2 linked regions of the Caenorhabditis elegans genome follow. The protein of the gene in region 1 interacts with the protein of each later gene in a biochemical or structural test. Each region holds a gene or a part of one and is shown on either strand. Other genes may lie near its edges.

Evidence for each region. Proteins that work in one complex are often made in the same cells at the same time.
Region 2: the proteins of lin-1 (region 1) and egl-27 form a complex in vitro, tested with the Caenorhabditis elegans proteins (one study listed by BioGRID).

Annotation. Positions count from the first base shown.
Region 1 is NC_003282.8:2,296,837-2,301,854, forward strand, and holds the start of lin-1 (ETS domain-containing protein), read right to left. Parts: upstream 3,451-5,018; coding exon 3,427-3,450; intron 3,382-3,426; coding exon 3,294-3,381; intron 1-3,293.
Region 2 is NC_003280.10:6,832,753-6,838,140, forward strand, and holds the start of egl-27 (Egg-laying defective protein 27), read left to right. Parts: upstream 1-2,268; 5' UTR 2,269-2,328; coding exon 2,329-2,413; intron 2,414-2,702; coding exon 2,703-2,821; intron 2,822-2,834; exon of another isoform or gene 2,835-2,941; intron 2,942-3,874; coding exon 3,875-4,015; intron 4,016-5,099; coding exon 5,100-5,225; intron 5,226-5,274; coding exon 5,275-5,339; intron 5,340-5,388. UniProt on the Caenorhabditis elegans protein: Transcription factor which promotes stress survival and delays aging. Required for cell cycle progression and development of the mesodermal and endodermal embryonic lineages.

The DNA of each region.
Region 1 (5,018 bases):
TGTCATCATCATCACTCATTGCCCCTGGAAACGGGCGGTTCGTTTGAGGCGGGTACAGAGAGAGAGAGAGAGGGGGGAGGAGATGTATATTGGATAAGGGGGGACCTATAGGTAATGGATATGACACCTTTTGCATGCTGATTCTTATCGAGTTATTAATCAAAATAGGGAAATATTGAGATATTTTTAAATCAAAATGTGGGAGGCTGTATCTTTTTGAAAATTTTAAAAATGTTAAGGGACGGTTTCAGGGCCTGATGCCTGCCTGAAACTTCAAACTTCAAATTTTATCATTTTTATCAATCTGTTAAAAATCAAAATAAGAATGAAAGAAGTTCACGAGAGGCAGGCAGAGGTTGCCTTAAAGTCAGGCAGGCAGGCGTTTTATCGCCTACGTGGAAGCCAGGGGTGTGCGGCAAATTTGCCGAATTTGCCGAATTTGCCGAGCACGGCAAATTTCAAAAAAGTAGATTTGCCGAATTTGCCGAATTTGCCGCACACGTCAAAAATTTGACAGTACAATTTTGACTAAAACTATTGATTTTTTAGCCAAAAATTTAGTAAAATGATACAAAATTGAGCTATTTTGATGCTTAAACAGACATACTACGCGGAACTTATTCAGAAACCAGATGTGTGTTAAGAATTCAGTAGTTTTGGTGCTCCAAAAAACATAAAAAAAATATCAAATTTTTCCGAGTTTGTTAAGCACGGCGAATTTGCCGAATTTGCCGAATTTGCCGAATTTGCCGAATTTGCCGTGCTCGGCAAATATTGAAAAAAGAGATTTGCCGAATTTACCGAGCTCGGCAAATTTTGAGATTTGCCGCACACCCCTGGTGGAAGCCCTAGGAGAGGCTACAGCAGTTATTCCAAAATTCTCAAGGTGGGTTCAAAAATTTCCTAAATTTTTCTCATGTCCTCAAAAAAAAGCAAATACACTACTAAAACTGAATCATGCACTACCAGATGCCTATCAGTCGCACCTTTTGATGACCTTCCCCCCTGGTTATCTCCAAAATGATGATCTCACAAAAATCCGTGAAGACGCAATAATATTTATGTTCCACCCTTCCACATCTTTCCGATATAACCTATCATTAGTACGGTTTTCTTGTTGGATAAAGAGGTTTCAGGGGCTGACAAAATATTTAATATGAATTGAGTAGAGGGGTTTTTCATATGATACTACCCTAAAAACATTCCGGATGACTGATCTTTTTAGGACCCCCACTTCACCCCATTCAAGCACCTCTTCTTTGTCGGCCATATATTCCGATCCGTCAATTTTGGTCGCAGATGACTTTAATCCGCAACTTCAGCTGCTCCGAAAGAGCACAACAACAATAACAACAGATAAGGAAGACAAGAGACCCGTAAATAGTGAAGAACAGATGCTAGTTGGGATGGTTTTAGGGGTAACAGTAAAGCATATATATCAAGAAAATTCAAAGGTATAGAAGAATATCAAAATGAGTGATTTTCACCCATTTGAAGATACTTTCAGAAAAATTGCAAAGCACGTAAAAATGCATTAAATTATTGGAGGACACTATTACAGACTCTGTGGCATAGTAAAGACAAAAGGTTGTATTTTATTCCAGCCATGTGTTTAATGTAACGTTTTGCAAATGGATATAAAAACAATAGTTCCAGTTATGAACCTTTAAAGCTCTAAACATTGTCATGTGGTTTGATTTAACTTGACTCTTCAACAAGAAGTATCTAAATATATAAACGTATCAAACACACACCCTCCCCTCCGACTTATTAATTGACACCATATGTCGTATGTATATATATACAAAAGTGATTGGGTGTGAAAATGCGGTAGAAATCAAACAAAAATGGGGGACCTGCGGTACTGTGAGGCGGAAATATGTATAGAGGGAGTTGGATTTATACCGAAAATTTCGTCTTGACAATTATTTTAGAATTGAATTTTATCGTGTTATTTTTTTTGAAAATTCTGCTCAAAGTTTTAAAAAATACCCTATGTTTTGGCAAAATTTAAGTCATTTTTCTCACAAATTTCTTGAAAATTCTACTCAAAAACTTGAGAAAAAAGAAACACCATACTAAATCATCAAATCATCATTAAAACCAAATACGGATTAGCTGCTCTACCCAAAGCGACACACATTCATCAATTCTTATCGGATTTTACCCGCAAAAACCAAAACTAAATTCAGAAAAAAAGAGAAAAAAGTGGCAGGGAGAGGAATCAGTAGTTGAGCATCAACCGACAGGTGGAAGAGCATGGTCGTTACGGTTTATTCAGCCGTCTGGCAGGAAGAACAAATTGGTTTGAAACTTGTTCTACTAGACTAGTTAGTAAAATATTTTGAGAATGTGCCAATAGCTCCACTTGCCACTATAGTAGAAAAGTATCATATTGTTCGAACATCCTTTCAACTTTACCAGTTGTCATTGTCATTGTCATTGTCATTGACTCGGTTGTCATTGGTTTTATCAGAAAATTGTCAACTGACAAAATGTTTGTCACATATTTTTTTAAAGTTTTCTAGTTTACTATATTTTGATATTTTTAAAATCAACTGAAATTAGAGCTTCTAAAGTGAGGAGGATTTAACATGGTGCATCAGCTCATATCTTGGTTGTCTTTTGATTTTATTTGAAATTGTCAACTAACAAAACATTTTTCAAATATTTTGCTATAATTTTTTCATTTTAAAATTACTAGCATTAAAATAAATAGAGATATAGGCTGTCCAACAAATTAACCTCAAATGAACCCACTTTGGCAGCTTATGCAACTTTATCAGTTGATATCTTGATTGACATTGGTTTTATCAGAAAATTGTCAACTAAAAAATTGTTTTTCACATATTTTTCTATAGTTTTGTATTTTACTATATGTTGATATTTTAAAAATGAACCGAAATATGTGCTCCTAAAGTGTAGAGGTTCAAACATGGTGCATAACTTTGTCACCACTTTCCTTGGCTATCTTTGGTTCTATCAAAAAACTTTTAACTAACAAAACAAATTTCATATGTTGTTCTATAACTTTGTAGTTACATATTTTTTCGTATCTTAAACATTAACCGAAATATAAACTGCCAAAGTTGCCCAATCAATGCACCATGTCCCCTAATTTTTCATTTCACATTTCGACTGTTCAAATCACAATAAGCAAATTGCCGAAAAATGTGAAATTTTTCATTCAAAATAAAAATCACTATCAGCAATTTTGAGCCAAACTTCATTGAGCACATTTGCTTTTAGTAGCAAGTGTGTTTTGCTCCAAATACTATAAAAAATAAACTAACTTCTTATATCCAAAATTCCCTCAATCGTATGTTTCGGAGATTCTTCTTCCTCGGCTTCTTCCGAACTCGACGGCGGCTCTTTTTTGACCTGCAAAAGAATACTATTTAGGAGTCATGAAGTCAGTGGACAAACCTTCAAAAGGTCAATGTGATTCATTTTCGTGTAAACTGTAGAGTGTCGGCGCTTTCTTTTGACCTGGAAAATGGTACGGGGTGGCGGCGGCTGATGAAAGATGACGTGGCAATGAGTGACGAGCTGGCTACTATTTTCAGTGACTCTATAGATAACAAGGGACGGGAGGGGGGCTGTAAAATGCGGAAATTTACAACACTTTTTGCTCACTTATTGTTGAATTGAATCTACATTATAAAAACACGATAATTTTAAGATATGAGCAAAACTTGCTGTCACTTTACGATCTCATGCCTACCTTATGCCTACTCTAGGCACCAGGCAGGCATAAAGGCCTACTGTACAATTCATAAAAAAAGAATGAAGTATGTGGAAAGTGGGACAATTATTAATATCTTCAAATTTTAATGCGTTGTGACACAAGACACAAGGGAAAAGTTTTAGTTTCAAAGGCCTAATTCCCTTGGCTAATACGATTTTAAACGGAAGAGGAGAGGTTTAATGTTAGAATAATTTAAAAGTTGAGGGAAATGGTTTAGTCTTAGATTTTTTTTAAAAGTAAAATCATATATTGGAAATCACAAAAGTTGGTCTGCTCAAAAGTTGTTTAAGTGTAATGAAGAATTTTTTTTTAGCTATTTGATAATTATTTTATAATACCTGCAATGTTTTTGTATGTCTTCTTACTTCAAAATAGCTCAAAATTGTCTGAAATTGCCCAAAAAACTCTTTGAAAACCCGCCAAACAACGTAGGAAACCGAAACTTGCTCGAGACTTAACTTTGAAAACTTGGTTGTTTTTGTCAACTGACAAAATATTGTACAATTATGCAATTAACATTATTAATCAATTTAAAACAAACCAAATTTTTTTCCACTTGCCAATATATAACTATTTTGGAAAATTAGAAAATCATCATATTAAACGAACATGGTGCATCGAAAAAAAACTTCAACTTTACCAGTTTATATTTCGGTTGTCATTGGTTTTATCAGAAAATTGTCAACTGACAAAATGTTTGTCACATATTTTTTTATAGTTTTCTAGTTTACTATATTTTGATATTTTTAAAATCAACTGAAATTAGAGCTTCTAAAGTGAGGAGGATTTAACTGCATAACTTTGACAGCTCATATCTTGGTTGTCTTTTGATTTTATTTGAAATTGACAACTAACAAAACATTTTTCAAATATTTTTCTATAATTTTCTCATTTTAAAATTACTAGCATTAAAATAAATAGAGATATAGGCTGTCCAAGAAGGAACGACATGGTGCATCAATTGAACCTCAAATGAACCCACTTTGGCAGCCTATGCAACTTTATCAGTTGACATCTTGATTGACATTGGTTTTATCAGAAAATTGCCAACTAAAAAATTGTTTTTCACATACCGTATATCTTCTATTAATATGGCCTCCCTATTAGACTTGCACTCCCTATTAGTATTGCCCCTCGGAGACCTTCCGAAAATTAGTATGGCACTCCCTATTAGTCTTGCACTCCCTAATAGCCTTGCGTTTACTCTTTTTTATTGCAGGCCCGTCTTGTTAACTTCAGGATTTCAACAAAAAAATTTGCCTATTTTGCA
Region 2 (5,388 bases), on another chromosome or scaffold:
AATCAAAGCTGAACGTGTGTGTGTGTGTGTGTAAAAGACACGGCAATTAATATCGTGGCGAGACCTTCTCTCTTTCTTTTACCGCTCCCGGGGTCCTCCTCAATTCATCCGCTCCTCGAGACGAAGACGTCGACACAATCGGTGTTTATTTTTGCGACGTAGGGCAATTTTACTCGCAAACATATGAGAGGGGAGGCGCCGACGACACCCGGGCGGGCGGCCTGACGAGAGGTTTAGATAGCGGGGGAAATAGAGAAGTTGGAATGAAGCGGCTGCTATTGCTGCCACCGCACGGCAAGAAGCGGACACAATTCAACCCGAAGATATTTTTTATGTGCACCTAGATGAACTCTTTTTGCAAAACCTCTCAATTAGTAGACCTTTGAAACTCAACAACGTTTGGACGAACCTAACTTGACACCGCCGCCTTTTTCTCTAATCTTATCTGATGAAACAGAACATCTGATGTTATCACAATCAATCAAATCTTATTCATCTCTACGAATTCGTAAATGTTTTCACTTACATATAAATTGGAAGAAAAACGGATTATCGTTCCAGAGATCAAAAAATGATGTGCCTCCCCTTTTTTGCAATTAATCCTCAACTCGTATTTCTCTTTGTATGTCTTGAAAATTGAAATTTAGACAGTTTAGTTGTTATCACGTCAGTTTTGTGTATTCCACTTGAACTATCTATCTGGTTGGTTAGTCTCCTCCCACCCATGAGTCTTTCATTTATGTTTGTCTAGCCTGACAATTGACCTGACCACCAACCATCAGGTCTCTCCCACGTTTTGTATTTTTATTATGCACATTACGAACTGTGTGAAAATGGCTGTCGTATCATAATAAATTTTGGAAAAAGAAAACATCTGAAATGTTGCCAGTTCTTTGATTCTCAAAATGTTCAAATGATATTCATAAGACTCTCATCTTGTTTGCCATATTGTCATTAGCAGGTCATCCTCTTCTATTCAATTCTGGCTAATCCCCCGTTCCCCCTTTCTCTTATAATTCATCGTTCCTCACTGTTTGGTTGAATGAAAGAGCACAACAACACTTGTAATGAGTTATTTCATATTTTGAAAAAGTTGCCACGTCATGGAAAGCCAAGACACAGTGGCGGTCTGCTTTGAGGTCGTCACTGTCACCGTCGAACTGTTTTTGATCGCAAACATACATCGGTTGTCTCGTCTCTCGGGTTGTCTCTCTCTACCTCTCTCTCTCTCTTTTCCTTCGGTGACTACCTCTCCTCCCTTCCCGCCACACCGTCCTCCCCCTTCCACCGACTATTCCACCTTTTTGTGGTATGTACTAGCACTATTCTCTGCGTCTGTTTTACAGTTCTCATTCTCTCACACACACTTATTTTTCCCCAATTCTTATGGTAGTTGAATGTGAGTACAGTGTCCACTAGGATCTAGACTTCAGGACTCATTCTGAAAGTTGAGCCGAGGTCACGTGTGAAAACTGAGCTCTTTTCCTACACCTTGCCCCTTCTTGACAATTGTCGTTCTTCCTCTTTCTTATCATCACTTGACTTTTTTGAGCGACATGCTGGACAAGACAAGTCGTTTAATGGATGATGTTGCGATTTACTATCATCTGTTAGTATGCGCTAAGTAGGTGCGAACGTATGACGAGTTACAGTAATTTATTAAGCTTGAAGGTTTTTGAAGGATTTTATGAAGTTTGATCAAGTTCTTGAGTTAAGTAAACATTTTCTCTTGTGATCTTAATTGATTGTGAAAATAGTGAACAATTCAAGTTCTTGAAAAGATTTGATTTGTGTAAGTTAGAAAATGTGTGTTACCAATTACTGTTGTATTTGACTTCTAATGGATCTTCCGAGTCAATCAGATTCCTTGGCGCTCGGTGGTCCTGCTCCTGCTGCTAAATACACCAAAATATTTGATGAATGCGGTGCGACGGCGATGCCGCCAATGTCTCTTTTCCTAACGGACCAGTCGTGTATGTGCTCTGTGTATGTGCCCCACTAACCGACGACGACGACCCTCGCCCGCCCCACGCCACTCCCACACCCCACCCCGTCTTCATCCCTTTCCTCTCTCCCGTCTTCCTTTCTTCTATCCCTCGGTGCTGTTCTAGTTTGTGTTTTTACTAGGCTCTAGAGGGTTCCGGAGGGAAAGAAAAAAGAACTTCTGTGCTTTTCATCACCATCTTCCTCTCTCATCTCATCTTTTCATTTTTTATCCAGCTGATTTTCGTGTGTTCTCAATGATTCAAATTAAGACCAATTCTTTAGGATAGTTCATCATTTTTGGGGGAGCAAACTGGAAAAACTAAAAAAGGCAACAAGACAAAGATGAGCCGCTTTGACAGCCAGTGCAGTAGTGAAGACGTCAACAAAGAGGACGAATGTGTGCCGTCGTCATCTGAGGATAGCCAAGGTAATGAAATTGTAACTGAACCGTCTCTGTGTCTTCTTGTATGTCATGTCAACCTAGATACGGGTATTCCCAGTGGGGGCCGTTCTTTTAGAAAGATGGCCCCATCTTCACCAGCGTAAAATGTTATGATTCTCGCTGCGGATTAGCGCTTAGCGGATTAGTCGAACAAATGTACGAACACATAAGAAGACACATGCGGCAATTCTTTTTTGTAACTTTTGATTGTGTGATCTAGATTCTAAAGACCGCCTACTTGAAATAATTTAAAATATAAATTATCAAATTTCAGACGGCGTTTCTTCCCCAATGGAAAACGATGACGAACCAGAATTTTCCCAAAAGCATTACGATATTGAACCATGTTATTATAGTCTTACAGGCAAATCGGATAGGAATTGCCGTGGAATAGTAAGTCATTTTTTAATTCAAAAATCTGAAATTTGAGTAATTTCCTGTACTCTTTAATAGTTATAATCTGAATAGACATCTTATGTATGCGTATCTTCTTCCCCTTCAATATCTCAACACTCGAAAAACCAATTAATTGTCGTTCTGTCGAGTTTTTGGAAGAGACACAGACATTTAGGCAGTTTAGTGTGTAGGGGAGGTCAAAAGGAAGAGGAGACGCTGGTCATAATTCAAATTCTCTCCCGATTAGACGAACATCGCTACAAATAGACAAAAACCTGGATTTCAATCTTTTTTCACCCGTTTTTTCTGCGAAACGTTTTGATGGCTAAACCTCAAACATTGCGCTTACACACACACACATTGCGAGCTTCAAATCGAGAAGAACCAGATAGTCAAACACTGAGAAGATCGCGAGCCGAAAAAAAAACCGAAGTGACCTCTCTTCTCGTTTCGTCAAAAATTGAAAATTGAACTTTGACTAGATTAGTTGTCAGTCGGCAGCATACTTCCTCGAATTGTGCGCATGTTTTCCAAAAAAAAGCGAAGCGAGGCAAAAACAGCTGCCCAATTTTTGATCTGAAATTCGAGACAATTGCTTTTTTCTGGCTGGCAAGGAAAGCAAAGTCAACAGAAGTTTTCGGAGACCCCAGAGAGATGCTTCTTCCCTCAAGAGAGTACAAACAAAAGAGACGCTTGAGAGTTAAAAAGATAGATACTATGCGACAATAGACACACAAACACAAAAAAACATTTTTTGCCGCATTATATGATTTGTTTGTTTGTTTTGAAATGTGCGCTCATAATATTTCATTCTCTCACAGTTTAGTGTTAGTTGGCATTGACCTAGTGTGAGACGAGGTGCCAATTGACAACTGAAGCTAATGAGAGGAGAGACGCAGACGACAAGTACAAGTGAACACTAGTTCATTTCACCTCAAAGATACAGAGAAACCGGAAAGATAAATAAGACAGACTAGTTTCTAATATAATATCGTTAGTTGAAAGTTTGAAACATACAAATCTACTGATTTACTAAACATATTTTTTCAGGTATACCGGTATCGACAAGACAGTGATCTAAAAGGGTTTCAATCACATGATGGCACATTGTACAGGCTACGAGATTCAGTATTCGTAGAAGTGTCACAAAACGAGCCGTATGTGATAGCGGCAATATGCGGATTTAAATATGTGAGTAATGAGATCGTGAGGCATGTCAGCAGATGGTTCTGCCATATTAAGGTTTTTGAAATAATTGTTTCTTGGAAACTTGTTCCTCAAAAATCAGAACCACAATAGATCAAATCGTTCCACAGTGTTACAATGAAATATTTATATAATGGGCAACACTCAGTGAATGTAGCGATAAGATAACAAATTCGGCATTTAAAAATTAATGTTGCGAGAAACCGGGTGATGTTTGACAATTTCGAAATAAATTGATAGAAAAGGGGGTTTAAGGACAAATTGAACTTTTTGGAAAATGAAAAATGAGGTTTTCTTTTTGAAACTAGAGATTCTTTGATACTTTATAATCTCTGCTGACCTCTTCTCAAATTCCAAACAACTATCAATTTACTTGTTCTCTATATCTCTTCATTCCCTTGTTCCTTGAACTACTGGTTTAGAGGAGGAGAGAACCGCACTTGTGTAAATATTGACACAGTTTTAGTGGGTTCATGTATTCCCTTCATGTTTTCCTTTCGACTGATAGCACTGAATACTTTTTTAAACATAAAAGTATAAGGAAGATGTCATTGAGTCATTTGCCCACTTGTTCGTCCTTCAGAACCCACTAAAAACCGTGTCATAATCGGATTGCGCGGGAAGTCGTTGAGAATTAGAGAATGCATTGAAAGTGAAAAAACATAAACTTTTTAATTCAAACACTTTTATAGTATCATCACAAAAACATACATTTTAGTATACACAATAAAAGTAGAAAGTTTGCTCACTTTTATGAGCTGTGAGAAGAACATAATGTTCCTCTTTGTTGTTGACAAAGCACATTCACGTGACCAACTGATGAGCTTATTTTAGAATTTAAATAGGAAATTGGGATAACTAGTTTTTAAAGCCAAAATTCTAAGAGCAACAAAATTACAATATTTTCTAGTTTTGACAACGCAGGGATAATTTTTCTTCTGGATTTTCAAAGCCGAAAACTGAGTTTATCAAAAAAGGTAAATTCCTTTGACAGGGCTACACATAGTATTCAAAAAATGATAAGAGATTATATATTTTTCAAAACAAAATAAAGAATACCAATTTTCAGACAAAACGAGATCACGTGGTAGTGAAACTTACGAGGTACTTCAGAGCAGACGATATACCTGAGATATCTTTAAATTTAATGAAACAAGAACGAGCTGAGCTTGAAATCAATCCACATTTATGTCCAGTTAGTTTAATTTTTAAGATTTTCAGAATTACTCACATTTATTTTTCAGCAATCATTAAATCGAGAATTATTTAATTCGGAATTACAAATTACACAACCAGTTTCATGTTTAAGGTGAGTTCTTTTTTAAATTTAAAATACTAAAAAAATTGAAATTAAAATA